3 linked regions of the Alligator mississippiensis genome follow. The protein of the gene in region 2 interacts with the protein of the main gene of each other region in a pairwise test. Links are inferred from orthologs where the notes say so. Each region holds a gene or a part of one and is shown on either strand. Other genes may lie near its edges.

Evidence for each region. The genes of interacting proteins can lie anywhere in the genome.
Region 1: the proteins of RAB6A (region 2) and BICD2 interact in binary tests that used the Homo sapiens proteins (3 or more experiments, as listed by UniProt). The link is inferred for Alligator mississippiensis from reciprocal best matches to the Homo sapiens genes RAB6A and BICD2.
Region 3: the proteins of RAB6A (region 2) and PMM1 interact in binary tests that used the Homo sapiens proteins (3 or more experiments, as listed by UniProt). The two-hybrid records come from large-scale screens. The link is inferred for Alligator mississippiensis from reciprocal best matches to the Homo sapiens genes RAB6A and PMM1.

The regions. Positions count from the first base shown.
Region 1 is NC_081835.1:25,351,594-25,358,785, forward strand, and holds the start of BICD2 (protein bicaudal D homolog 2), read left to right. Parts: upstream 1-4,188; 5' UTR 4,189-4,311; coding exon 4,312-4,551; intron 4,552-7,192. UniProt on the Homo sapiens protein: Acts as an adapter protein linking the dynein motor complex to various cargos and converts dynein from a non-processive to a highly processive motor in the presence of dynactin.
Region 2 is NC_081824.1:467,028,581-467,035,786, reverse strand, and holds the start of RAB6A (ras-related protein Rab-6A), read right to left. Parts: upstream 3,018-7,206; 5' UTR 2,868-3,017; coding exon 2,798-2,867; intron 1-2,797. UniProt on the Homo sapiens protein: The small GTPases Rab are key regulators of intracellular membrane trafficking, from the formation of transport vesicles to their fusion with membranes.
Region 3 is NC_081827.1:97,120,566-97,127,909, reverse strand, and holds the start of PMM1 (phosphomannomutase 1), read right to left. Parts: upstream 3,005-7,344; 5' UTR 2,948-3,004; coding exon 2,867-2,947; intron 1-2,866. UniProt on the Homo sapiens protein: Involved in the synthesis of the GDP-mannose and dolichol-phosphate-mannose required for a number of critical mannosyl transfer reactions. In addition, may be responsible for the degradation of glucose-1,6-bisphosphate in ischemic brain.

The sequences.
Region 1 (7,192 bases), on a different chromosome or scaffold from region 2:
AAAAATGGTAGGTAGCATGGTTTGCAAACAGATGCATGTTTAACTGTGACAGTGCAGGACCTTCATATTCACTGCGCCACAGTCTGATCTCACAGGGAATTTATACATGTGGTCTGGAGGGGGGCACTTTAATTAGAGTGGCTCCAAGAGCTGCTATAATTAAAGTGCCTGCAGCGTCATGTATATCAGCATCCCCGTGCTGAAAAATGGCAGTGGGGGAGCTTTAACTAAAGCATGTTGAATGAGCAAACTCCACTGGGTCTGCTCTGATATGCTGTAATTACAGTGTGTTGGAGCAGCCTCCCTGCATGTGTATAGGTGCCCATAGTGGTACAAATTTAGAATGACTCTATTGAAGTCAATAGAACTAATTAGACCAGTGTAAATCTGGGGTGAGATCAGAAGCTGGCTGGCCCAGTTAGTTTGGCTAGAGAATGGCTAGGGGATTTTAGCCACTCTCTGTAGGGCACGTGGAACTCATTGGCAGGAAAAAAATAACTGGCAATATATAAATCTTGAAGTGTTTAATGTAGCAGGTGAGTCAATGTTTTCTGGTTTAGGCCAAACTGAAACAGATACGCCTCTAACAAAATTCTTGCAACATTTTGAAATTAAAAACAAAAGAAACTTTGGTTAATTGCAGTAGCTGATTACATCACTTTTTATTTTTCAGATCCAGGCAAGTTTGTTAAAAGGAAGAGGATTAGGGTGGTACATCAGAATTCACATGACAAATACAGCCTTTCCATGTGAGCCCTGTGGAGTCTGGGGTTGGCACATGATCCCTAACAAAATATTAGCCAAGGCTGCCTAATGACTGTGAGGCTAAATTCACAGACATTAAAGACTTTATTAAAGGGATCTATATGCTCTCATACATACCAAAGTGGATCAGGACAACTATAGATTGGTGGAAGATAAAAGTGCTTGAATAGGCCCTACAGCTAGCTGTAGGCAAAGCCATTGTTTTATATTCTAATCCTCCCATGTGCTCAAACAGGTAATTGTTTTTACTGTTTGGGTTTTATCTAGCAATTTAGTACCAATTATTTTGATGGAGTTGCAATTCTGAGCTTCAGCAAAGGAGGGTGAAGCAGTGACCAAGCTGGACAAGCTCTCCCAGTGACTTTGAGAGGGCTGAGCTGTGCTCCCAATTAAAGTTGTGGAGAGTTGGAGTAACTCCACTGACTACAGTAGAGATACTCACACTGGTGCAACTGAGAGCAGAGTTTGGCTCAGGCTGTTTATCCTTTCATTGTGTCTTATAAGTTAATTAATTCTAATTGGGAGAGTAATTACCACATTACTGGGTCTGTTTACTGTTTTTGGGAACATTCAGCCTTTCATTGTAAGGGACTTTGCCACATTAGTTGACTACATTTCCCCACTGCGGAGTGCCCCCTTTTTCAAGTGGTATTAAGATGGTAAGGAGGCTGCTTGTGCAGCACTGTGTATTTCCCTTTGCATGAGCCCATCAAGTCTTACGCAAAAATCTATATTAGGTGCAGAGAAGCCCCCATTTTTGTAGTACCTGAGGGCCTCAGTCTAGACTGCTAATGCCTCACTAGAACCCTAGGAAGGAGGAAAATACTTTTATTCCCAAATTATAGCTGGAAAACACTATGCAGCCACTGAGTGTGGATTTGAAATAATAGAAAAAAGAAGAGGTTGTAGTACTCCTGTCAGCATGTAGAAGACTTACTGGACACACACATGCACTCACACACATTCTATAGCTAGTGAGTAAAATTATGATAATAGGTTTGCTGTCATGAACAAATGTACTTGCTAACTTCTTTTTAAGGTAGCTTTTGTAAAATAATATGCATCCTTTCCAGCTGTCTGTCCAGGAATGACCATGACCCACTTCTGCACAAGCAGTGGCATGATTCTTCATCTAGCTGTTGTAAGATACTCATTTCTGGTGATCTGTTCTACAAGAACTGGACATTCAGGACATGGAACTGCAAGTGAGCTAGGAATAGTGATTTCCTCCACCATAGATCAGTTAAATGAATAAATATGAGAACCATGTCTGATAGTCTGACTGGCAAGTTGGGTTTGCAAGTGTGGTTTGCAACCCTTTGAAGTCCAGACCCACATAGCCCAGCTGCATAGATCCAGGAGTACTACTGCTATTCTGAAATGCTAATCATGAACTGTCTGCTGTATTTTACAACATAATACCCTGCAGTGAATATCTGCTACAGAAACTTGTCCATGTTTCTATTGCTTGACATGTTTGGCTTTTTTTCCCCTTCCCCATTCTAGTCACTTGCAGGCTTGTTCTCAATTACAGCTCTTACGTAGTCAACACATCTGAGCATGTGCACAACTTTAAATAGATGAGTTCTGTTGAACTGAGTGGGACTACTCATGTGATTATAGTTATGCATGTGCTTTAAATGTTTTTCCAGATCAGGGTCTTAAAAGGCAACATGAATCTTTATTACCTATTTGTGGGAGTAATTCCATCTCACTTGCTGTCATTAATCACCTTTGCCCCTTGTATCTGTACCTATTCTGAAAAAATTTAAAAAATGTAAAGATCAGAGAAAACAAACATGACCAAACAAATAGCTTTCCATAAGCTGTTTACATTTCTTCTTTTTATTGTTGTCCCCAACTGTCTCCCATGCAAAGCTTCCTGCAATTTCCTTTTATATACTCTGTCTAGATTGTAACCTCCCTGGAAGCAAGAACCTCATCTTTTTACTTCCCTGCTTATTCACTTGAGAGAGAGATGAGATCAGTGACAGAAGAATTAATTATATTAAAAGTAGTAATATAGCAATTACCTTCTGAAAGATAAGAGTCTCAGCCAAGACAATTCAGGGGTGTTTTTTTAATTTAAAATATTCAAATTAGAAAATAAGTACTTTGAGTGAGCAAAAGTTAGAAATGTGCGAAGCTTTGCAGTACAATAACTAGCAGAGAGTGGGTAGTTAACTGTATTTAGTCTAACGTCAGGCAGAAGGCAGGGCACGGCAGGGTGGCACCTTACAGATTGATTCATTCAGAGAAGCATAAGCTTTCACAGGCAACAGGCCTACTTCATCAGATGCTATGAAGGCATCATTTAAATAGGTTGTCACCTATAAAAGTGTGTGCCTCCGAATGTATCAGTCTCTGGGGGCCACACCCTTCCGTCAGTGCAATAACTGATTGATTCTTGTAACCAAGTAATTCTATCATGATGGATATAACACCTTTCATTTTGAAACAAACAAAAGCCAAACTCTCGAGAAGCATGCACACCTTGAAAAGCAAATGCACTCTCTCATCTTGGCTATCTTGGTTTTCCTTTCCCTTTCTGGCCATCTTCCCTCCTGTGTTGTTTTCACTGGGATTATTTGACCCCAGCAGTCTTTCCTGATCAGAGAAAGGGGGGGCCCTCAACTTCTGTGAATCCCTCTTTCTAGCTCGATCTTTAAACCCTTATTGATGTGTGTGGTATTCACCTCCATAGCAGTCACCTTGATTTCAAGAGTTACGCATCTGAATAAGGGCTTGAAAGTTCATATTAGGCCCTGAATGCAAAGACCAATGCCCACCAGTAGCCCCACAGGAGCAAGCAGTTACATGGGGATAATCTGGTTTCAGAAACCAGTGTCTGTCTTTGCAGGGGCCATTCTCTGGAGGTGGGGGGTACCTTTTATCGAATCGATAGCATGCTTGGGATAAGACAGACAAGTTTCTGAATGCAAGGTACTCTTCATGGAGGGGTCTTCTTGTGACTGTAGTCTTCAGAAATCATTTTTCTTGTTTGTGTATAAAATGGCCAGGCTTGCTAGTCTTCATGAATGAAGAAATCAGCCAGAGTGACTATGTGCTTAGCCTGACAAACACTTCTTCAGGCTGGAGGTTGGCCATTGGTGCTCATTGAATAGGCAGGCATGTCCACCTGGCCTAGCGGCAGCCCTCAACCCACTAACTCCCCTCATCCCCACGGTTTCTAGCGGCCTGGAGGAGGAAGGGGAGCGGCCCTGACACGGTCCAGGGCACCGCTGCTCGTGGCGTCTCCCAGAGGAGAGAGAAGCCGCGGCGGCCGCGCCCTTGAGCCGGGGGCAGCTACGCCCTTCCTAGCCGGGAGACCCCGACGCTGCGGGGCGGGGGCGCGGTGCATTGTGGGGCGGGCGGGGGGCGGGGCTCGGCGGGACTACGATCCCCAGTAGCGCGCGCGGCGGCGGCCGCCGTTTGAATGACTGCGCTGCGCTCCGCGGCGGCGGCGGCGGCCGCGGGCACCGGGCGGCTGCGTGAGGGGCGAGCCCAGCCCATGGCAGCCCCGCGGCGGTGAGCGCTGCCCCCGCGATGGCGCTGGCCATGGAGGAGGACGAGTACGCGCGGCTCGTGATGGAGTCGGAGCCCGAGTGGCTGCGGGGCGAGATCAAGCGGCTCTTCCAAGAGCTGGGCGAGACGACGCGCGAGAAGATCCAGGCGGCCGAGTACGGGCTGGCCGTGCTGGAGGAGAAGCAGCAGCTGAAGCAGCAGTACGAGGAGCTGGAGCTGGAGTACGAGACCGTGCGCACCGAGATGGAGCAGCTCAAGGAGGTGGGCGCCGCGCCCGCCCCGAGCCGGGAGCCGGGGCAGGACGGGCGAGGCTCGCAGCCTCGCGCTGCGGCGGGGGGAGGCCGGGGCGGCGAGCTCCGCCGGGCTTGGCACCTCTGCGGGGCTCCTTGGGTTAAAAACCAACCCCCGCGGAGGGCGCGGGTCCGCTCGGCTGCGCGGGGAGGCGGCCGGGGCCGGGCTGGACAACGCCCACGGCCGCCGGTGACAGCGGAGAGCCGGCCCGGCCCGGCCCCGCGGGGAGGCTGCAGGCATTTCGCTGCCGTCACACCGGGCTGCAGCCAGACTGCTCCTCGGGACCCCGGGCCGCTCGGGTCCCATTTTGTTTGGTTCCGCTGGTTTTCAGCTCACATCCGTTTTTAAAAACAAACTCAAAATGAGCCCCGTTCAGACCGAAGCAGCTGAGCACGCAGGCCCCTGGCCTGCTTTCCTTGAACCTCTGAGCAAACCATTCCTCTTCCTCTTGCCCAGACTGACTGATGAATGATTAGGGATCAGCATTTTGTTACGCTGAGGTGTTGGTAGTGGGCAAGGACTGCGGCAGGGGGTGCCTTTCATTGGGCCAACTGGACGCAGACGAGCTTTCAGCTGCAAAGCATTCCTCATCCCAGCCCTCGCAACGGTCCATTCCTCTTGCATAACTCCTGGACCATCACAGGGCCATCGTGGTTACAACATCATTCAAACGTTATCTAATGCTGGTAGTAAGAAGCCCTAGATACATAACCTGGGTAGGTTTAAAGTTAAATGTATTTTGCATTGGGGGTTTGTACAGCTGTACCTGAGCTGATTTCAAGTTGAAGCTGGTACATGTGGAGCAGCCCTCAAAGAACGCAAGTTTGATGAGGAGGTGAGGGAGCCACTAAGGAGCCTCATAAAGAGGATTCATTCTGATCTTTTCTTTGTTCCCTTGTAGCTTCTTCCATCCTTGCAGAATAACCATACCTACCCCTTACATAGTCCTTTATATCACAGTAGTCAGAGGAGACAGTCTGCTGTCGCTTTACAGAGTGGGTGGGGAAGCCAAGGCACAGAGCAGTGAAGTGATTCCCACAAGGTGACCCAGCAGGCTGCGGGGGAGTCGGCAATAGGACCTGCCTCCTGAGTTCTGTCTGCACTAGAGCAAACCTGTTGGGCTGGGCTGTGGGAGATGCTGTAGGATTCAGGTTAAAAAAGCCTGGCTGAAGAATTGCAGCATGTTGTTGAAATCTTAAGAAGCAGAGACAAAAAATCATGGTTGCCAATTCACTCCTCTTGTGTTTGATTTTTTTGTAGGATTTTCATGTGTCTGTCCATCCTGTGGTAATTATCTCAAGCCCTTGCATGCAGACAGTTCCAGGAACAGCTTGAGGACTCTGCTGGTCAGGGGAAAATGTAGTTGCTGTAGTTTTCTTGTGTTGCGAACCTGGAATCTGGAATTTGTTAGGATGTACTAACTCTCCAGCAGACACAAGTGGAACAGTCTTGGAAGGGGATTTTGTTTTGTTTATGTAACTTTTCGTTTTCCCAGGCTTAACTAGAAGTGTTTTACACATAAGATCTGCCACATGGCAAGCTTGAATTTAGAGGGAATTAATCTTTGGGTTATATAAGCTTGCATCAGAGTAAAGCAGGGTTTTGGGAGAAAAATGTAGGCCTCAAAAATGTAGGTCATCTTTCAATCCCCTGCTCTAATTGCACCTTCACACTCACTTTCATAACATATCAAATCAGTGGTATTTTTCTATAATTACTTTTGACAGGAGCCCTCAGAGATTCAGGGTGCTCCTGGCCTTGTGCTAGGTGATGTTTCAGTGCATAGCTAGACAAGGTCCCAGCCCAGAAGGAGTGACTTTCATCTACTTGCAATTTTTTTGAGTGCAGTAAAGTGTCCCTCATGATGACAGCTTACAGCACAAGTAAATGGGGTGTGTGCAGCCTTCTGAGGAACAGTCTGCCCAGGGTACAAGCTATTCTGATGCTGTTCCTGGAGGTTTGATAACCTATGTGGCCAGTATGTTCCTAAAGCATAGGGTGTTACTAATGGAGCTGCATGATTGCTTCTTTAGTTTTATCCCTAACTTGTATACAGCTGCCAAGGCATTTTACTTCCAGAACTGTACTTCAGAGTATTCAGGGTTGTACAGACATTTGGCATTTGCACTTCAATCCTTTCCTCCATCCTTCCTTTCCCATTTATAGTGAAGGCTGGAGCCCTGGGTGAACTTTCATCAACATAGTTTTGAGCGTGGTGATACAAAACCTGTTCCTGTGTGCAAATTTGTTCTGCATTTCTCTTTTGCTCCACTTTGATTTATTATTCCATAAAAAGTTAGAGAGATTACTGACTGAAAAGTACTTTAGGGGTAAGATCACAGTTTCTGTGAACTGCAATCCATTTTATGCTTTTCTGGGACAGTTAAAGCTATGTGTGTGATTTATTTCTTTGGACTCTATGGGGAAAATACCTGTTGTGGTTAATTATTGCATCACCTGAAGAAAACCAAACAGGTTATATTACAAGTTGACAAAAATAAGTAGCTTAATGGACCTTCTTTGGCAGGATGCTACAAGCCTTTATCTTGAAAGGAACTAAGTAGTTGTTACTTTGAATTGGATCACTCCTCCTGAGTTAGGGGCCTGCAGG
Region 2 (7,206 bases):
TAGAAATGCTGGAAGTCACCTGACATGAAGTAAGATCAAAGACACTAAAGGGAATCAGAATATTATATATATATTTTACTGTAGCTGCATTTAATCCCTCAGCACAAAGCTGTCTTTTCAGGAAAGATTAACATATTTAAAATGACTAAACTCTATGTAATCTGCAATCACCGAAGAAGTTAATTCAATTAAGGCAAGCCCCTGTTAATATTTTTTTTAATTTCTTGCTAGTCGCCCTACAATGCACAGCTTACATCGCAAGTCAGAGAGATGAGATACACACAGAGGTGCTTTTAGCTATCCATGGAATAAAATGCAGGTTTGCAATCAATCTACAGCAAGCACCTGAGGTTTCATCGATCCAGTTTTGAACCAGAAAAAGCATACTCTCACTGAGAACCAGCGATTTGCAGTAAATCCCAAAAGAAGCTGCAAGTGACCTTATGTCATGCAGCTAACACACCGACTGACTGGCATGGGCAGGGGAGGGCTCCAAGGGATGGACGACTGCAGCAGTGTGTCAGCTTTCATTCTCCAACATGCAGGGCTCAAGGTGTTGATGCAACAAAAATGAAAGCCAGATAAATTTTAGTAACTGAGGAGATGCAAGAAGCAGGGAGACAGAGGGGGCTTTATTTCAGAGATTAAATCAGAAGCCCCCAAACCTTCTTTGTTCAGAAAAAAAAACACACATTATTGCTGACAATAATGCATAGCATAATCTGGAGAAGAAAGAAAAAAAAAATCACTGCAGTGCAAGCAAACGTGTTTATTTAGGTAGAAAGCTGCACTGAATTGCCACGATACAGCCAAGGAGAAAAAAGGATGCTATTTCCATCGTTGGCCGATCACTTTTCCAAATAAAATACAAAAATAGATTCGGCAGAAACATTCCCTATTTCACAAGGCAAGACATTCTCTTTGAACACTTGGCTGCTTCTCCTGTGCCAGCTCGAAAGCCTTTAACGAGGTCCAATTAAGAACCAGGCAGCAGTAGCACATACATTTCTTGAAAAGATTGTAGGAAGCCAACACAAGAGGCATGATCTTAGCCCTGACATTCTGGTCTAGCTAATCAACAGCAGCACCCCCGTAACGTTTGATTTGCTTTTCTGAAGGGATTGAAAGGAAACAATGCCAGGGCAGCGTTCTGCTTTCCTACGAGTGGCAGCTAGATACCTTTAATGACGGCCTTCCAACCAGGCAGACAACCATTCAGTGAAACAGGAAGCGAACAGAACATCCCAGTGGCAACAGCTTTTTCAGAAAAGGACGCCTTGATTTGTAAAAGCCGCTGTTATGCAAGGCTTTGCACCCTCCAACGCCAACACAGTGAGGACAGACAAGGAGAGCAAGCTAAACAGGGGCGGAAAATTCCAGCGTTAACATTCCCAGCACTGATCAAGAGATGTTCAGGCTTTTTCTTCCTTGTACAGAAGACCACCATTAGCATATCTATCTAGTTACTAAGGCTAGACGCAACTGATCTTTATGCCGACATGGCTTTGTCCAAATCTCGCTTGGAGAGCAGAAGCAGCCTGGAATAAACAGGCATTTCCAAGCCACGCACAAGAACTCTGTTTAATGAGGTCTCAGAAATGCATCAGGATTGCCTATACTACAAGGACACCGGCTCATGAATGCGTGCCCCCAGCAGCTTTAGAGGAGCCAGCTTGGGTACGGCTACCAGGTGGCACAGCGCTGCCTACCTGGACCACTTGCCTGTGCATTTACCCCGCTTTTTGGGTGGATCTGGCAGATCATACTGGATTGCAGGTGGTTGTTGCTACTCTGCTAGCATTATGCAAGCCGGCGAGCTCGGAGAAGCTGGTGAGCTTAAAAGTAGCTTGGGTGCGTAGACATGAGCTAGTGTTTGCGAGACTGGAAGTACTTTGCTGCATCACTCCATCCTTCCCAGACAAACACACGTATGTTCAAGGGGAATCATCATACTCATGTGTCCAGAATCACTACCAGGAGAGGAGGATTCAGACCATCGGGCACGCAAACCCACGGGCGAGGACAGCAGCTGCCGCGATCCAGCAAGCAGCACCCAGAGAACAAATCCGTTACTGTGCCACGGATCAAACCGCCCTTTGAGACGCACGCCGCACGCAGAGTAAATCTCGGCCCTACGATCAAAGAGGCCGCAGAGCCTGCGAGGAGCGCGGCCGGCATCGGATCGATCCTGACCTGGTACCGACAGCGTCTTCCGCACGCGAACCGCTCTCAAGATCCTCGTAAAACGGCTGGCCGAGCAACACCTCGCTGCTGGCGCCCGGGACTCACGTGGTGGGGGGGGGGGTGTCACTCGGGGGCTATTGCGACAAAGGGGAAATAAAGAGAAGAGGCAGGCCAAAGGGAAGGGCCCACGTACGTGGCTTGACTCCCCTCGTACCGCGGAGGGCGATGGAAGTGACACCGACACCGACGTCCTTGTGGGAAGCACGGGGGGTGTTTAGCAATGCGGGCGCAGCAGCACCCCGTGCCCCGACGTCCCCCTCATTAAATCGGGGTGAAAAAGCACTCACCACTGCTGACGTGCAAAGGGCGGGGGGGGGGGGGGGGGCCAAGCCAGGCCTCCCCATCTCTTCCCTGCCAAAAGGTGGAGGAGATGCTCGCTCACTCGAGGTGTGTGTGTGTGTGTTGGGGGGGGATCTCCCTGCCCCCCCTCATTGCAGGGAGGGGACGCAGCCCCATGTGGGCAAACCCGCCCCCCCCCGCCGGGCACAGCCCAGTCCCCACGGCTGAGGGGGTGCAATAAGGGAGGGGGGGGGAGGAGGGGTGCGGCGCTCACCGCTCTGCTCGCCCAGGAAAACCAGCTTGAATTTCCGCAGCGGGTTCCCGAAGTCGCCGCCCGCCGACATGGCGGCGCCGGGGCCGGTGCTGAGGCGGTGCGGGTGCGGGCGCGGGGCCGAGGCCGGGGCTGACGACTGGAAGCGCGCCGTGCAACCGCTCCCGAGCGCCCGGCGGCGGTGGCGGCGGCTGTAGCGACGGTGGCGGTGGCGCAACGCAACCTGCTGGGCTGTGCGCGCGCAGCTAGGGGGCGGGGTCGCGCTCGGCTCCTCCCCTGTACACGTCAGCGCGCACGCCCCTCAGCCAATAGGAGCGCGAGGATGGGGGGAGCGGGGGGAGCGGCGCGCGGCGGGGGCCATGCCGAGTGTGGCAGCGGTGACGTCAGCGGGCCGGGGCGGAGGGCTCCCGGGGGTGTGCGAGGCTGGGAGCCGGCTGTGCAATTATGTGATTCCTCTGCTTGCTCCGGTCAGCGCCAAGCTGAGTTGATTTAAGCTGGTAACAAAAGAATGACGGTCTTGTGTGAAAGAAAACTTTTCACAACGATAAAGAAAGGAGAAAAAAAACCCAAAAAAATCAAGGCCATCGGCTGTTTGCAAAAGGCACGGGCCGCTCCGTATCGCGCACGACACGCCAGCAACATAAGAAGTTCAAATAACAAAATTTAAGCAATCATTAAATAAAGCCAAAGCAGAGCGGCAGAGCAGAAGGGGAGCACCGGACGGGGGAGCAGAAAGCAGAGCAGAAGGGGAGCACGGGGCGGTGGGAGCAGAAAGCAGAGCAGAAGATCCAGAAGGGGAGCACTGGGCAGGGCGAGCAGAAAGCAGAGTGGCAGATCAGAAGGGGAACACCAAACGGGGGGAGCAGAAAGCAGAGCGGCATATCAGAAGGGGGGTACCAGACGGTGAAGCAGAAAGCAGAGACGCAGATCCAGAAGGGAAGCACCAGACAGGGGGAGCAGAGAGCAGAGCAGAAGGGGAGCACTGGGCAGAGGGAGTGGAAGCAGAGCAGCAGATCCAGAAGGGGAGCACCAGGCGAGGGGAGCAGAAAGCAGAGTGGCAGATCCAGAAGGGGAGCACTGGGTAGGGGGAGCAGAAAGCAGAGCGGCAGATCAGGGGAGCAGAAAGCAGAGCAGCGTATCAGAAGGGGGACACCAGACAGTGAAGCAGAAAGCAGAGAGGCAGATCCAGAAGCGAAGCACCAGCCGGGGAGCAGAGAGCAGAGCAGAAGGGGAGCACCGGGCGGAGGGAGCAGAAAGCAGGATGGCAGATCCAGAAGGGGAGCACCGGGCGGGGGGAGCAGAAAGCAGAGCAGCAGAGCAGGCAGGGCAAGGAGATCGGAGTGGCACTGGCGAGCAGCGTGGTGCATAGGCAGCAGAAAGCCGGGGCTTGGGGGGTCTTAGCCCCTGCAAACTCATTTTGCGGCACCGCTCGGCGTGCAGCCAGGCCAGCGCCCCAGGCGCGCTCAGCTCCGCGCGGCTGAGGAAGAAGAGGCTAACCGCGCGTGCGCCGCACTGCACAGCGCACGATGGGGGTTGTCGTGCTCATGCTGATGCCTGCACTCAACCCCCGCCCCCAATAATATTTTCTCTCCCTGTCTATGGTGTGAGGCTGCTTGGTGGCATGCCTGCCAAAAAGGTTGCCCCCCACCGCAATCTACTCATTCCAACCCTTGGCTAGGATGGTCGTGACAGAGCTGAGCTGCCTTGGACAGGGGGCTGGACTGGATGGCCTCTGGATGGCCCTGACAACCCTCCGCTCTTCTGTGATCCTAGAAAATGCTCGATGGATGGGAGCAAACCCAACCTCACTGCTCCTTTGCATTTTTCCCATGCTGCTGCATACGCCTCTGCGTTTTCCCATGCATGTTAAAGACAGGAAGTGGAGGGGCCGCGAGTCAAAAGTGTGTTGGAGACACGGGTAAAGTCTAAGCTAAGAGCTGGGTTCATCATCGGGGCTGGCATTAGAGCAGTGCAAAGCACCCCGACTTGCCCTTGTAGCCTTGACAATGACTAGTAGCTGTCAAATCCAGGACCGTGGCGGGTATGGTTGTCTAACAAAGACCAGGGCCTGATAGCAAGCTTTGCCCCTGGTCCCCAAAAGGGAAGCCCTGACCCTGTTCCTCATTGCACCTTATTCACTGTGCACAGGCCCCAGGGTTGGGGCGGGGGACAGAGGCCAAGGCTGCTTTAAACCACCTCTGCTGATCCATTATTTTGGGATCAGTGAGGGACTGTCAAGGTAAAGCACACTGCAGCACTGTCCTCCCTGGCACCTGGCTGCCAGGAATAGCCTGGGTCCTGCAGCTCTCCCCAGCTGCAATCTCTTATGAATGCCCCCCCCATATGCTGCCTGATGCCCAAAGGGAGGAGGGAAGTTGACACCCAGCTTGTTTCACACTACGGGGAGATTTTCCTTCCACCAGCCAACTTCCCTAATGACAAGGTAGAGCTGCTACTTGGCCCCTTTGCACCAGCACCAGGCGAGGGAATTGGCACAAGCAGAAGCTGGGTCCTATATGACTTGCCCCAGGTCAGAGAGCAAACTAGAGGTGGATTAAGCCAGAGTTCTTGTTTAGACCACATCTTTTCCCCTGTAGAGAGGGCTGTGCTAAATAGACCCCCGAACCTTAATGTTATCAAGACACACCATCTCCTCCAGCCTTTTCCTCTTGGGTACAAAAAGCAGCTGCTGCAGGTTTGTGCTTTGACTCGGGTCCCCAGGCTCACACGTGTAACTTCAACTTTGCCCTCCCCATGATGAAAACCCTTGCAACGTGTTTCAATGAGCCATTTAAAAACCTTAGTCATGAATGATTCAAATCTCTCGTATTGTCACGGCTTGGCAGGCTCCTAGCATGACAGACCTAGATTGCTTGCAAAGGAAAAGGCAGAGCCTATCACAGCTTAGCCTTTAAACAGCTTTTGCAAGCAGACTGTGTAGGGAATGTATTTTTTTTCCCTGCTGAGAGCTATTCATTTTCTGTTGTCCTCTCCCAAGTAGCCATCGAGGTAGCTCTGGAGTTGGGGATTATAATTACTTTGGACTAGCTCCAAAATTTTATACATCAATCTATCACTGCTGCTGTGGCTGCTACTACGCTTTCATGCAGCTGCGGCATTTGTACCTCTGTCTGATGTAACACTTTCTTCCTCTGCCACCAGCAGCTTCCCAAGCTTCAGCTCCTGTCCTGAGATTTAAAAAAAAAAAACCCTGGCCCATTTTGGCTTCCCTGCTATGTATTTTAAGCAGACATTGAAAGTCATGCACTTCCGTTGCCGCAAGTCTTGAGAGAATCAGAATTTTCCAGACTGGTTGCCAAAAGAGCCCGGGATCCTGAGCTGAGGACAAGCTGCCTTTGGTGCACATCAGCTGTAAGTCTGCAATGATCTTCAAATTCCCTCAATCCAGAGGGAAGTCCAGGCATTGTGCACATCCCCCGCATAAATAGAGCAATGCTTGAGGTTACCATCATTTATACTGGCTGTCAAGAGTCTGCAGGATAACAGTAACTTAGCCACCTCATTCCTTTAGCCATGCCTCTGCCCTAGGATGCAGATCCAAGCATGCTGCTGTAGAGGGGAATCCTCCAGGGACCATGAGACACAGCTGTCTGTACTGATGGAGGGGGCAAGCCAGGGGCAGGAGCCCTGGAAATCAGGCCTCATATTTTTTACTGTCTCCTGCATACAATAATGCTTGTATAGCTTGGTCAGCCCCAGTCTGTCAAACAAGTCACTGTTTTTCCTTTGCTGCTGTGAGCTGCCAGGGTGGGTTGTATCAAGAATGAGAAAAGGGGGTCGGACTCAATGATCTATTGAGGTCCCTTCCGACCCTAACACCTAACATCTATGAAAATATACTGCCTTCATTACTCATTCACTTATTATTGATTGGACCCCAGCAGTCTTATGAGCTGCATAAGCGTGGAAGAAAATGTTCTCCCAAGGATGGAAATCACAGCAGCCTTGCCCTCAGAAACACTGGCAAAGCTCCTGCTGGCATTGGTGGGATTTACAGACTGGGCTAGTGGACAAAAGTGCTGGTCTGGGACTCGGGATACCTGGGCTCTTTTTCTCTGCTCTGCCACTAGCCACCTGGGTGATCTTGGGCATGTCACTTCACTTCTCCTGGCCTCACTTTCCTTAGGTGTGAAATGGAGATGATACTACTGTCCTCCTTCATAACCACCTTTCAGACCAACTGATGCAAAGCATTAGGTAAGAGCTAGGAATGTTTTTATTGTTTAGGACATCCATGCATTTAAGGGCAGAATAGGGCTCCTGACCATATACATCAGGCAGGGGATCCAATTTGGCTGAGTGTACCTTGGAGTCAGCAGGTGTAAGTCCCACGCAAGACCTCAAGTGAAATTTAGCAGTGATGTCAGTCAGTGGAAGTTAAACGTCAGGAG
Region 3 (7,344 bases), on a different chromosome or scaffold from region 2:
AGACACATATCTAGCCTCACAAGACCCCTGCCCAAGGTAAGGAATAACAGAAAACTGGGCTAAAAGGATCTCAGAAGGTTATCTAATCTAATGCCCTGCTCAAGGCAGGATTATCCCTGACTAAGCCATCCTATAAAAGCGTTGGTCTAATCTAATCTAATCTAAAAACAGCATGAACAACCCTCTCTGACAACTACCAGGCACAGTGCCCCAAAACACCAAAAACATCTTAATTTGCTACAGCTAAATGAGGGGGACAAGAGCACTGTCACTATCCTGCTGCATTATATTGAGCCCTCCAGGCCATGTCTGCACTAGAGAACTGAACTGGTGGGATGAGGCTGGTCTAAACACAAACATTTCACTGTTTCCATTCTGACCCATGCTCCAACCTCTCATGGTTTTGCATTGTTTCCATGCTACTGTTGTTCTACATCATTTTGCCATGGTTGGCAGCCCACAGTTCCCAGCTGACCTCCCCAAAGCAGTGGATTCAGAGAATTCTCCAAGGGCCATGACACAGGAAGGAGAAGACTGCCTGATCCTCTTTTGGGACCATCCACATTGGCATCAATCAAACTCAAACTGAAACAGGTCAAGAAGTGAGCCATATTTTGCCCAGCTAAACACATGGTGGTGCGATTCACTGGCAGCCAGCAAGGGAAGGTCCCCACCAGGAAGCAGGACTTCACTGTGCTGGTCACTGCTCTTGTGCCTACTATGCAAATCACAAGTCAAATCCAAATATATTTAATATGTAAGTGAAACACTGGGAACACTTGTGTGCTGCGAGCACAATGCATTTGCAGGCATGGGAAAGGGATCACACAGATCTTTGCAGATTCAGTTCTTCAAAGATGGACCGGGCCAGAATGTACAGATGGGTAAACAGTCACAAAAGGGCTGCACGAGGCCAAGGCATATGTGGGTCTACATGCAACCCATAGTAGGGTGGAGATCAGCTGGCCTGTAGCTGCAAGGGTGAGACATCTAGGAAGGGCAATGGATGAAAGGATGTGGGGGTGCAGGAAGCATTATTTTGGAAGAGCTAGGTGCTTCCAGGCTCTCCACCTGGATTCACTAGCCCGGCTCCCATTCCTCCCTCACAAGATGCCAGCATCTTCCATCCCCCAGTGCTCTAGGGCCCTAGCCTCAGACTTGAAAGAGACCAGAGTTCAAACCACTTCTCGAACACAGATTCCCTGGGTGACCATGACTCCGTCTGTGCCCTCAGTTGCTTCTCTATTAAATAGGCACCACAGCACTTCCCTACTTCCTGGATCAACATATTAAGTAGGGTGAGCCTTAGGCACTATGGTAACAGGTTAAGCAAGTACCACAGACAGCTTTCACGAGGCTGTGAGCAGAGGGCAGGCTTCCCTTTCCTCCCTAGAAAACCAAGCAGATGCTGCAGGCTGCCCATTGCATAACACTCTCACACTGCTGTCAACCAACAGAAAGGGAACCCTTCTCTACTTCAGCAGAGGCCTGCTTTGCTGAGGCCCTTAGAAACAAAACAACTGGGATGCAGGGGAGAGAGTTCGCCCTGCCAGGCCCATTTGACCATTGCATGTGCAGATAGTACCAGCTTCAGAGCCATGCAAGCGCAAACCCGGCACCAGTCTGGTTCCAGGTGTGCCTAAAGGGTGCCGACCTCTGGGCGGCAGTAAGAGGGGATGAGAAACCATGCAGGTCACAGAAGACATGGCCTCATTTCCTCCCTTTGGTATCCCCAAGAGCATCCTCCCTCGCTTGTGCTCTTAGCAAGCGGGTTCGAGTCTCTCTGGGGCTGCATGCGAGAAGCAGTTCATGCAATCATAGAGGAGCAGGGCTAGAAGGGACCTCCAAAGGTCACCTAGTGCAACACCTGCCTGAGGCAGGATCTTCCCTATCCAAACCATCCCATACAACCATCATCTAAACTCCACATAAGACTGCCGTCCACCCTGACACAATGCAACCTACCGCCCTAACGGGCCAAAAGAAAAGCAGGGGAACCATAACAGCCAACCTCCTGCTTCTGCGGTGCAAGGCTATGTGGGCACACGGGGCTGGCACCCCTGAGGGATCTCTGCTTGAGATGGCAGCTGCTCCATGTGCCTCTGCCCTCAGAAGCAGCTGCCCCCATGAGAGCCAGGGCCTGCAGCAGCATCCGGCCGCCTTTGGGTCCAGCTAGCTCAGGACGAAGACGCAGCAGAGGGCAGTGGGGCCTGGATTAGCTTGGCCGGAGTGGCGCAGGGATGACTCCTAGAAGACGAGGTCTGGAAGGGACCACAGGAGGGCATCTAGCCCAACCCCCTGTCCCAAGCAGGACCAGCGCCGACTAGATCATCCCAGCCAAGGCTTGGTCTGCCTGTGGCTTCAAAACCTCCAAAGAGGGAAATGTCACAGGCTCTCTGGGTAGCTCTCAGCGCAGGGGATGGCACGTGTGGGGGCCCGGTTGCAGCTTCTGAGGTCCAGCCCTGCTTGGCTCCTGCCCTCCCCCATCACAGGGGCTCAGAGAAAATGGGGTGGCAGGGACCTCAGGGTGGCATCTAGCAGGGTTTGAGTAACAGGGGAGCTCAGGGCCCTATAAGACACAAGAGCCCCCTGTAAGATTTAAAAATCATAAAGGGGAAGGGGGGGGGGTCTCCGATTTTATCAGGGCATCGTGACGGGCAGCCCAATTTTTTTATTTATTTTTTTTTTGCAGACCCCCCCCAAGAGTCAAAGCGTCATTCAAACCCTGGCATCTAGCCCGAGCCTGCTTCCCCACGAGGAAGCCGCGCAGAGCCCGGCCGGACACCAGCACGATGCCCCTGCCCTGGCCGGCCCGCGGCAAAGGCCGGGCACAGGGGGTCTCCCTCCCCGCGTGCAGCCCCGGTACCTGGCGAGCCGGCGTGAGCGTCCCGTCCACATCAAAGAGGCAGAGGATGCGCTCGCGGACCCCGCCGCCCAACTCGGCCATTCCGCCGCCGCCGCCGCCGCCTGCCCCGCCTGGCCGGCCGGCAGAGCGCTGCACAGCACAGCGGGGCGGGGCCGGCCGGGGGCGTCTGCCCGCGCTGCCCAATCCGGGAGCGACGCCGCGTCACGTGGCCGCGCCGGCACAGGCCGGGATACACGTAGAGCGCCGCGGAGCGACCCTGTTCCCGCCGCCGCCGCCTTGGGGCAGCCGAGGATGGAGGAGCCCGAAGCTGGTTCCTTTCCCCGAGCCCTTTCCGCAGTGACCGGCTGTTAGTAATATAGGTTGAAGTCGGGAGCTTGCTAATACAGACATTTTTTTTTGCAATTGTCTAGTTGGTCTAATGAAAGATATCGCCTCTGCCACCGACGTTCAGGCTCTTCGTGAGGAACCAGGCAGATCAAACAGCTGGGGCGTCACCGGCGGTGTAGATTTGCTAGTACAAATGTCGAATGAGATCACGGCTCCACCACCCAGCCTGCATCTTTACGTTGTTATTGTTAGCAGGAAAGCCTGGTTTTCTCGGATTTTAAAAAAATCCCCAATTTTCAGTTAAAAAAAAGTAACCCCAAATCCACATTGTTCCATGATCAAAACACCACTCTCTCTCTCTGTATACACACGCACACATTTATTAGTGGGGTTTATGTATATTAGTGGTGTATATGTATGTGCGTGTATATACACACATATATGTAGTGTTTCATTTTAATATATGTGGTATTTTTATATATATATATGTTTTTATATATAGTGTTTCATTTTGATCATGGAAAAATGTGGTTTTGGGGTTACTGTTTTTAAACTGAAAATTGGGGATTTTTTTTAAATTGGAGAAAACCAGGATCCTTGGTTATTAATAAATCTATATTTCTGACGCAATTCTAACTCTGTCGCCTAATTCCTTGTTAACAATCTTTAGTTGTGTGCAGATGAGCTTTGAAAAAGGAACTGGGAAGAAGGAACCAACTTCAAGCTCATGGGGCCCATGTATGTAGAAATACGAATTTTTTGGAAACCCTGTTGCTATGAGGATGGAGCCTACTTCGCTGACTTGGGACATCGTTGTATTATTTGACTTCTTGATTCAGGTTTCAACCATGTTAAACATTACACTAGGTTTTTTCTTGGTTTTTCCCCCCTATTAAATGTGCAGCAGTCTTAGACAAAAAACTAGGCCAATATGAGGATTTTTGGATAAGCACCTGTCATGACTTTTCCAGGGGTGGACAGCAGCATGTGATGGGGATCAGGCAGCAGCGCAGAAACCGACCTTCAGGTTGGGCAGGACTCTGCCCAGTCTTCTTTGGGAGAGTCCCCCGGTGGCAGAAGTCCCCCGGTGGTGACGTATTCAAAAGTATCCCCCAGGGATGGAGATGTGTGTTTTGGGGTGAGTCTAAAAGGATTTTCCCCCATAATCTCAGCCTAATCTCAGCTGTTTATTCAAGGCTATATACTTGGTACATAATCTTATTTTACATTTGTATTAGTAAATATACATTTTTTATTATATTCTAATTCTTTAGCATATCAAATCCCTTACCAGAAACTTTTAATTGTGTAAAGATTACTTTTGAAAAAAACAGGAATTGGGAATAAGGAACTGGGAATAAGGAACCAACTTCAGCTTCATCAAGGATGGAGTGTATGTTAAAAATTTAAGAGCTGCCATTCACTGGATAGAAAATTTACCTGACTTGTCCAGTCTTCTGGCCCCACCAAGTGCCCGGAGGTTCCTGATGAACCTCCTTCTGGCCCTGGCTAAACTCGCAATTTATCTGACCAGGAAGGAGACTGGCTGGGATGACTCCTGGGGACTGTGGGGCTGCTTTCCTGTCCCTTGTCCATTCATGTATCCGAGCAGAGTTTCAGTATGCAGTGTCCACTGGCTCCCAGGATGTGTTTGAAGGCCAGTGGGCACTGGCTGGTGTGCTCTGCTTAGTGTCCCCCCTCGGAGCACTTGTTTTGAACCTGTGACGTGACTCCAGTCCCTGTTTTCTCTTTAGTTTTCCCCTGAACTCAGTTGATGTGTCTCCAGTAGCTTCCCCACTAAGGAAGGTGAAAAGCTCTTCCTTGATGGGCTCAACCCCATGATTCGCTAGGCACGTCAAAAAGGCCTGTCACGCAGTGGCAGAGAGTGGGTAGCAAAAGATGAGGGTATGACCAGGGGCTTTTCCCCACTGTTGCTCTCCCACTTGCAGCCTCCAGCATTTAGGGCCTAGGAAGGTCTGATTCGGATGGTGCCCCTCACTCCTGTGCTCAATAGCGACTGCTGCCCCTTTCCTCCAAGAAAGCATCCAATCTCTTTTTGAACCTGGCTAAACTGTCAGCACGCACAACAATCTGGTGGCAAGGAGATCCACACTCTAATGGCACTCTGTGTGTAATAAAGAACATCTTTTTGTTAGTTTTAAACTTGCTACCTACTAGTTTCATTTTGTGGCCCTTAGTTCTCGTAAGCAATAGTAAATAATAAATCCCTATCCCTCACCACATTGCCTTCCTAGACTGTGTTACATGGCTGAACACAACTGTTGGTAAGACAAATACAGCAGCTGCTCAGTTCAGCAGTTGTTCATAGAGCCTGCGGTGTTAAAATGTGTTGTGTTCAGCCAGACTTCAGCATCTTTTGGGGCCATTCCTGAGGAGCACCCAAGCAGATTGCTCCCACGTGGAAACCTTGGAGGTTTTATTCTTACCCCTAAAGTGCAGCCTTTGTTGCATGCTCTTGGGACTGAGGGTTGTTCCAAAGAGCAGCTGAATCTATTGATGATTGTGGAGGCTGGAAAATCTTGGCCTATAATTTATTCTGATTCCGGTTAAAATGAGCTCCATGTGTCAGCTGGGTGAGAGCATCTGTCGGGAATGCTGCGATGAGCCCAATGCAATCAAACATGCACTTTATTTCCAGACACTTCTATCCCTAAGGAAAGCAAATTGTGGTCAGTGTTAAGAAGCTACTTTGTCTCAGTTTACCTGAGCTTTGATGTAACAGCTCTCTGTGGTATTTGAGCCACACAAAAGCCCTGGCCAAAAGTTGTTTTTCCCTTCCAGCCTCTGTGGGGGCAGAGGAGAGTGACTTTGTGTGTTAGGTCTTTTCTCCACAGGATCGATTCTGGGGAAGGTTTACTGAAGAAATGCAGCTGGGTTAGAAGAATTTTGTGTCTGGGGTCAGACTGATCTTTGACAGATGAACACAGCCCGGGTCTTGCCACCAGCAATGTTCTGACCATCCTACAGGACACATTAGAACCTGAGCACCTCATAACAGCTAAGTAAGATCCACCTCTGCACCTCTGCATTTTCACAGACCTACATTTTGCATGTTGGCTTCTATTCTACCCAGGAGAGCACGCAGTTCACCATCAGACTCGATATGCCTGAAGAAGGGTGTTTGTGCTCAAAAGTTTGCAAAGAATAATTTTTCCAACTAGTTAGTTGGTCTATTAAAAGATATCACATCTACCCAAATAACCTTGTCTGCCTATGTCCTTAGACCAACATGACTACAACCAACAACGCATAACAGCTAATGCATGTTCCTCAGAGCACCCTGGTGGGTAGGGAAGTTCCCTTCTCAAGCTGAGATGCGCTTTGCTTAAGCGATTAATCCAAGGTAACATGGGGAATTGGTGGCAAAATGGAGACTTAAGCCCAGATTTCCTGAGAGCCCATGCCACTTCTTAACCACAAGACCATCCTCTTTCTTCTGGGTCATCCCCATGGAGTGTACCTGACATGGAAGACTGCAGGGCAGGATTGACTATATGGTAACTAGGTCCAAGGACGTGAAATGCCTTGTAGATTAGGGTCAGGACTTTGAACTTTGGTCTCAAGTAAATGGGAGGTATGTGCTCCAGAATGTTTGGAAAGTGTGGTAGTGATGTGTCTGTGTTGGCCTTTGAAAGGTTTGTGTGTGTAGCAGGGGGTGGGGGAAACAGCACATGGCCTGGACGAACAGAGGGTACAGCAGTGTACTTATAGCCCTACCCCTTACAGACAATAGCTACTTGACTAGGTGTCTCTTCTGCACTAACTACTCTATCAGGAACAGCAGATGCCTGAGCAGATCACTCTGCCGTAGGTCCTGGCTTTGCTTCAAGCCATGCGTAAACCAGGAAAAGAGCTGTCTAAACCTGCATTAGCAAGCATGTTTTACTTAAACTCTTTCCATACAGGTGTTTTGGGAACTCCAGAAGTGTTAGCTGGTCACCTGGCATGCTTGTGAAGGTGTTCCTTCCTTGCTATGTGAACACAGCTTGTTTTCCAAAAACACAGATGGCAACATTCCTCACATTTGCATGTGCTGAACTCATAGCAGTTATATGCCATGGGGCTGGATGTCTGGGTTAAGCTATCTGGTGGGCACACTTCCTGGGTATGGCCTTAGGGTGGCCATCATA